Daphnia pulex: one gene and its partner. The protein of the gene in region 2 interacts with the protein of the main gene of each other region in a pairwise test. Links are inferred from orthologs where the notes say so. Each region holds a gene or a part of one and is shown on either strand. Other genes may lie near its edges.

What was found.
Region 1: the proteins of large proline-rich protein BAG6-like (region 2) and dnaJ homolog shv-like interact in a two-hybrid assay, tested with the Homo sapiens proteins (2 studies listed by BioGRID and IntAct). The link is inferred for Daphnia pulex from reciprocal best matches to the Homo sapiens genes BAG6 and DNAJB11.

What each region holds. Positions count from the first base shown.
Region 1 is NC_060017.1:5,991,590-5,994,866, reverse strand, and holds dnaJ homolog shv-like, read right to left. Parts: upstream 2,117-3,277; 5' UTR 1,938-2,116; coding exon 1,879-1,937; intron 1,793-1,878; coding exon 1,399-1,792; intron 1,335-1,398; coding exon 1,192-1,334; intron 1,127-1,191; coding exon 912-1,126; intron 846-911; coding exon 583-845; 3' UTR 501-582; downstream 1-500. Other genes in the region: maternal protein exuperantia-like, read left to right, coding at 2,739-2,747, 2,916-3,104. UniProt on the Homo sapiens protein: As a co-chaperone for HSPA5 it is required for proper folding, trafficking or degradation of proteins.
Region 2 is NC_060023.1:11,638,803-11,642,867, forward strand, and holds the start of large proline-rich protein BAG6-like, read right to left. Parts: upstream 2,801-4,065; 5' UTR 2,535-2,800; coding exon 2,466-2,534; intron 2,397-2,465; coding exon 2,279-2,396; intron 2,210-2,278; coding exon 2,057-2,209; intron 1,995-2,056; coding exon 1,766-1,994; intron 1,707-1,765; coding exon 1,265-1,706; intron 1,203-1,264; coding exon 321-1,202; intron 253-320; coding exon 1-252. Other genes in the region: transcriptional adapter 1-like, read left to right, coding at 3,115-3,182, 3,242-3,278, 3,338-3,625, 3,693-4,051. UniProt on the Homo sapiens protein: ATP-independent molecular chaperone preventing the aggregation of misfolded and hydrophobic patches-containing proteins.

The sequences.
Region 1 (3,277 bases), on a different chromosome or scaffold from region 2:
AGGGCTGTAGCTGTAGGCCTAAACGAAAAAGAAATTGGAAGCTAATTGTCCTTATTCCATTGAACTGCATTAAGTCTGTCTTTATGCAGATGCTTTAAGTTATCTTATTTATTTTTTCTGACATTTACTAATCAAACCTATAGAAAATATATTTTTAGAATTCTTCGTTTTTATTCCACATGCAAACGACGACAGTTATTGGTTGCATTCCATTATTGGGTGGCTACATCCTGTCTCATTATTTTTTAAAGGTATTTGCAAAAAAAACTGTATACTAAGAAAACCATAATATGATATGAGTCCGCTGCTCAGCGAATATAACGCTATTCATTTGTACGACCCTTAAAAAAGACCCCCAAGATTGCCTCCCCTACAGTTTTTCTGGAGAATTTCAAATCCGATGAGAAATGTCAAATTTATGCGGTGCCGAGCTATATCCTTGTGTGGCATACAACTTAAACCGGGAATTATGGCTGTCGCAGAATGAAACAAGAAGTAGATCGTAGTGACACAGCGATTTTTTTTTTCAATAAAAAAAAAAAAATTGTAAAAATTTACATGCACGAAATGCATCGAAGAACTTTAAAACCCTCTGAGGCCATTGTACACTTTGTTGATTGAATCTTGCGACAGCAATTGCCTGAGCTTTTCCTTGACCTCAGTTGAGAGTTCGTCTTTCGGGAACTGCACGTCAAATGTTACGTAGAGCATGCCGAAAAGATTGTTGTTCTCGTAATTTGGCATTCCTTCACCCTTCTTACGAATGCGAGCACCTGGCCAAGTCACTTTGTCACGGACGATATGTACTTTATGTCCATCCAAGTGTTCAATATCTAATTCAAAACCTAAAACAGAATAGACCGTTATTTATCAAGATTTAAAACATTATTCGTTGCTGCGCTGCAACTTACCGGCCAAGGCATCCGCTAAAGAGATGGTAACATTGGTATACAAATCATCTCCTCGGCGTTCAAAAGTGGAATGTGGAGCTGTTTGAATTCGTAGACGGAGGTCACCTGGCTCTCCATCAGTGTGTGGTTCACCTTCGGCAGTAAATCTCTGCTCCAAACCGTCCGTCATTCCTTGCTCGATTTCGACTTCGAGAACTCGTTCTTCATTGACAAGCCTGTTTCATACAAACATCATGAATAATAAGTTGCTATTCGTTGTTAAGTTTGATTTCTCCATTACTTGACATTGGGGCACTCATCACAGACAGCTTGCTGCATCATTTGGAACCTTCCTGGACCTAATTGTCGGGTTACCATTTCTTGCCTGCAGTTGCACTTTCTAGTACCTTTTGCAGGTTTTAGAACAGGTTTGTTGTGTGTTATCTAAAGAATGTAAAATATATGTTTAAAATCACTTTTCTTCTTTACTTTTTAATGAAAGCATTACCTCAACAAAGTTTCCAGAGTAAAGTTCTTCGAGAGAAACAAAAAGATCCATCACAATATCTGCTCCTTTTGCAACCTCCCTTTGACCCTGGTTACCATTACCCCCAAATCCAAACCCAAAATCACCAAAAAAACTGGCGAACGGATCCATTCCACCCCCACCTGCACCTTCCTTTGAAACACACTCTTCACCACAGCGATCATAAAGTTCTCTCTTCTCTGGATCGGAAAGAGTCTCATAGGCTGCTCCAAGGTCTTGAAACTGGGCACTGGCTTTTTCAGGGTCTTCTTTGTTTCTGTCAGGATGAAGTTCTTTTGCTAATTTCCTGTATGCTTTCTTGATTTGGTTAGTGTTTGCTGATTTTTGTATTCCCAAGATTTTATAAAAATCTCGTCTGTAAAAACGAAGAAAAAATGCTCACGTTAGAAAATCGTCACAAGTTAATGCCGGTTACAAAAGTAAATTGGATTCGCTACCTACCCTGCTAAAACGGTTCCCAGTCCAAGGCAAATAAATAACAATAACACTTTCAAGTGCATTTTGAAAAAAAAAGTTTTAATTTGATTATAAGTTAGAAGCAGTGTCCACGAATTAACAGCCTAGGTTAGACCACTACCACAATTAACAACAGCAAATATTACACTTGTTCAGAATGTATCAACGCGCCAGAAAATAGGAAAGGACGTCTGCAGAATACTGGATTCAATGTGGGAAAAGCTCATTGGTCGGTGGGGTTTGGTGACGTATCGTAACTATAGACGCCACAGGGTGTTTTGAAATGGTATGCATGTCGTCATGTGTAGCGTTGGGGAAACATCATAAACACTGCACTCCATGTATATTTTCCCTATAGTCCAAAGTTCATGTTCTCGAATTGCCCATTTCGTGTGAGCGCCTCTAGCGAGTGTGTCAAAATTTCCCGATAGGGATTCTATCGCCAAAGACCTGTTTCCTGACCCAACCCAACCCAACCCACACCAACAGATGGCGTTGTTCCTCTCAGTGAGATAGGAAAGTTGTTTATTTCATTAATGTTTTATACGTTTTTTTTCTTAGAGTTAAACAATTAGGAAATTATGATCATCTTGTGCAAGACAAGGTTTTACATGGAGCCGTCGCATTTAGATTTTTATATTGCGACGAAATCATAATTATATACTCGAATTTGTGTTTTCGTGTTTTTCTAAACTGCCGTTAGATGGTTCTGACGCATTGCTATAAGGCCGTGCTATATAAACACAGCCTATTATCTAGTCAACTCGGTCTACTGTTTTCCATTTGCAGTCTTCATTCGAAAGTGAAGTAATGGTATTCTCTTCCACATCAACCAGCGGCCATCAATGGCTCAGGTAAAATTAATTAACTAATCAATTCCATTCAATACCACAAAATTGTTAAAGAAAAGGGGAACTGTTCTTGAAGACTGCCTAAGTATTCTCTTTGATCGCATTTGTTTTTAACCACTACAAGTCTGTTGTTGAATGCTGTTTGATTATCGATAGTGTTTTGTGTTGCAGAATAAAATTACAGGAATGACCAACAACAGTGAAGAACAACAGACCTCATCTTCCACCAAGGAGACCATCATAGAGGTGATAATTCAGCCACCAACTACAGAGGCCAAGGTTGAATCTGATGCTCCCCCCGCTGTGATCACCACTCAGCCAGCACAGCCAATGCCTGAACACGATGACAGCATTGCTGTGGTCATGTGGGAAGCCACCGTTTCAATACCACATTGGTTAAAGAAAAGGGGAACTGTTCTTGAAGACTGCCTAAGTATTCTCTTTGCTCGCATTTTGTTTTTAACCACTACACTGTTGTTGAATGCTGTTTGATTATCGATAGTGTTTTGTGTTGCAGAATCAAATTACAGAAA
Region 2 (4,065 bases):
AGTCATAAAGAGGTCAAAGAGGAACGACTCGCCGGCCGTGTAAGTGAAATCAGGAATGTTGCGTAAGAAATGGGCCACCGTGTTGGGCGACTGATGGCCACTCACCACACCCGCAACTTCTTGCATGACTCCCTGGAGCAAACTACTAAACAAGGCGTTGGTTAACACTGGATTAGGGCTGCTGGATCCATCTCCACCACTCGTTCCACCTGCTACTACCCCGCCTGATAGTACACCGCTATTGGCCGTCACCTGAATTTCCATTTAATGACCAATCATTATCAATGTTTTCCTCTCGCAATTTTCAATGCCGCAATTACCTGACGAAACATTTCGTTCATAAATTCGTCGACGGAGGCCGGAACGGCTGTCGGTTGATTTCCAGGGCCTGGTGGACGGGTTTGATTGAGACCGGGAAAAGCTTGTGCCGCCGACGTGGAAGTGACAACCACTGGGCGTGGTCTGGCTCGCTCAGTGTCGGGTCTGGATGAAGACGAGCGGGTAACATGTCGAGAATGACACGGTAAAAAGTCGTCAAATTCGCCCAAAGATGTTGGTGATTGCCCACGAGACGCTTGTTGATCTTCCTGTTGATTGTTGTTCGAGCGAACTTCCATAAAGAGCGACATTGGATGCATTTGACCACCTAAATTGACAGGGGTCCAGCCTCCTTGACTCGCCATGGCTAAAGGCAAACGTCCAAACGGGTGCGGTCCTCCCCTGACCAGCATTTCAGGGTGCAGCATTTGGACTGAGGCTCTTGGAGCTGGGGGATTCTGCGCCGATGCATTAGCTACACCCGTTCCGGTCGTTCCAGCAGCCCGCCAACCATGAAATGTCGGATTTGTAGTTGGAGGAACTGATGGATTGGCAGCAGTAGCTGCAGTGGGTGGGCGGGTAACGTGTCGGATGAACTCATGAGGAGATATTCTTGTGGGCAATCGCGGAGGAGCTTGCGCTGGTTGCGGTTGAGGAGCTGTAGCGGCCTCAGGAGCTGCTGGGTTAGCCTGTGTCTGAGGAGCTCGGTGGGTATGTGTAGTCTCGACGCTGATTGAAGCGTGAATGGGTATGGTCGATGAAAGAACTTGTTGGTAGACGTAGGGTCTAGCACGGACTTCACGAGGAGGGGGAGTTCCAAAGTCAACCATTAAATCGCTCATGGCGTGAAAAGCGTGGGCCAAAAAGTGCAATCCTTCGGCTACCTTTTGGATCAAAAATCAATTGAAAAACATGGAAAGGAAAATATAATATGATTTTACTGAACCTGGTTGTAGGTGTGTTGTGCTTGCCGGTATTCAGGTGATGTGCTGTCCAATACGGGATCATCTCTGAGGAGCTGACGGACGGTTGTCAAATGAGGGCGAAGATCCTGCTGGATCCGTTCCATATCTTCGATGACATCGGCAAAGACAGACACTCGAGGATTTCGAATTTGCTGTTGTCGAGGTTGTTGGTCACCAGGAGGAGCTGCAGCTGACGACGGAGCTGACGAAGGAGCCGACGAAGGAGTTGCAGATGGGGTGGTTGAAGGAGGAGTTGTTGAAGGGGGTGTTGTTGAAGTCGGAGCTGTAGGACTTACGCGTTCGCTCGCGCCACTGCCACTCTCTGGTGGATTATTTGGTTGAGGCCCTTGCACCCGAAAACCAAACGATCCTTGAACTGCTGGTGATCCATTAGGTCCTTGCAACACGGCAATATTGTTTGCCCTGATAAAAAGAAACGTAACTAACATTTTTAGTTTTTTAGTTTGGAGGTTTGTCATTACCCCAAGGATTGAACAGTTGAAAATGCAGCAGCTATAGCAGTGGCAGCCTGTGCTTGAACCATTTGTATGGATGAGTAGGGTCCCTCAGCAGTATTATCCATTGTAAAGAGTGAACCAGTGCTGGGAACTGAACTGATCCTTCCCAAACTCTGTGAGGCATCCTCCAGCATGTGTCTGGCTGTATTCAAACGCAACAGAGAACTACTTCCGGCTGGAGCTGGTACTGAACCTTCATTTGATCGTAAACATTGTTATTGAGATTTCTACTTTTAATAATGATGAGAAATTTACCAAATGAATGATTGGCACCATTTTGAAACCCTCTGTCTAGGTGGTAGTGAATGTTTCCTGGTCTAGATCCTTGAGTTCTTGGTGGTCCTGAAGGAGGATTACCAACTGTTGGAGGTGCTCTCTGGACCAAGTGAATGACTTTTCCACTCAGGTCTGTAAAACACAAAAACATTTACATGCCAATCATTTGTTTTGAGCTAGGAAAGAGTATTTTCAATTTACCATATTCACTGAGCTTTTTGTCATCTTGAAGAACTCTGCCACAGTAAATCAAACGCTGAGTCTCTGCTGGTGTTCCTACATCCCCAGCAATGTGTTCTTTAAGTTCCTTGACTGTGAGCTGCAAAACAGAAATCCAGTTAGTTTCCCCTATCTAAAACTCACGAGTCGTTTCTTTTAATGGTCTTACCTCCTCTGAAACTGTGAATTTATGATTACGCGAATCGAGGGTTTTGACGGTAACTTCAATATTTGCCATTTTTGTTTAGCTTTCACCACCTCGAGTTCCAACCTCGCTGTAGTTTGGTGACGATACAGACACACTAATAATAATTATTCGGTTTCAGTATTTTTTATTTTACCGATCTAACCGGACGGCTCTGAACCGACGTCAGTTGTGTAATGGGTGTCGAAATGTAAATCTCTAACGTGGAAAACTGGAAATCGGGCCTGTAATAATACACGATAACAAATAGAGGCGCAACTGTCTCCACATCGAATCGACACGACACGACACAGCCGACAATTCATAGGCTTACGAACCAAGTTGTGTTACAACGCCACCTATTTCTCTTGGTTTTAAACCGTAAAAGAGGAATTCACTTCAATTTCATGATAATTTGTACATTTTACGAACAAGATTTTATCTAATTTTACACGTTATATTTATCAATGACAAATTCAAGGAAAAAATTATTTTATGAAAATCAATTCCTGGAATGAGCACCATCTTTTGGTGGTTTTCGATAGTCGAGGCAAGACAGGTGTAGACGAAATCCAATGGCGAGTTAAATCTAAAAAAGTGAGCGAAGCAGTTCAAAAGTCAGAACACAACAACAATGAATGCACTTGATGTTAACGAAGCCAGGAAACGGTTGGTGGATGTTTTGGGAGATTCTTCTAAGAAGTAAATAAATCAGATTTGATATTTGTGGTGGTATATCTCTAATATCATGTTTTATTTAGTTATTTTGCCCACCTGAAATCGTGGTTTTGTATGAGGGTAAGAAATGTTTCTTTTATACTATCCATTCAGTCATAACTGACATTCTCTCTATTTAGACAAGCAAAGAAGAGTTTGATCGCCAAGCCAGATTGTACCTGAAAGTAGACCAAGTTCATCTTCACAATGAGTTTCTTTTGGCCATTGTTACAAAATGTCAAAGCTTGTGCCAGCCTTCAACCTATGTCTATCATGGTGTGAAGCAAAAGCCAATTGTTGTCACTGAAGTGAACAAAATCAGACCACATACCATTCCTCTACAGAAACGTAATTCTGTTGAAATCAAACCGATCACTGTGACAAGACAAGTTTACCCAAAGAACAAGCCTCTCACTGTCAACTTTGATGTAATATGTCTTAATTATTGGAATTTTCATTGGAGACCTTGATTAACATAATTCTTTTCTTATCTAGAATCGATTCCAACCAGTGAATCCAGTTTCTCTGTTACCATTTTCTGCTCCTTGCACTGTAGAGAAACCACAGCTTCGTTACTGCAGCCAGGATCTAATTTTACCTGACGCTGGACTCGTTCACGGTCGAATGCTAGTAGCAGCTTGGGATGCTGGTTTGGATCATGGTTGTGAAGACAAAGCCATCAAACTGATACTGGCAGCTACCAAGCAATTTCTTAAAGAACTGATAATTGCTATCATAACAAACCGGAAAGGGTACCGCCTTCGAGAGAACAAAGTCATCTATTCGGTTGGCCAACCTACAATTAATCCGTGGCTACACAATTCATGGTCCATCCAAGACAGTACCAGTAACAGGTAAATATTTATTG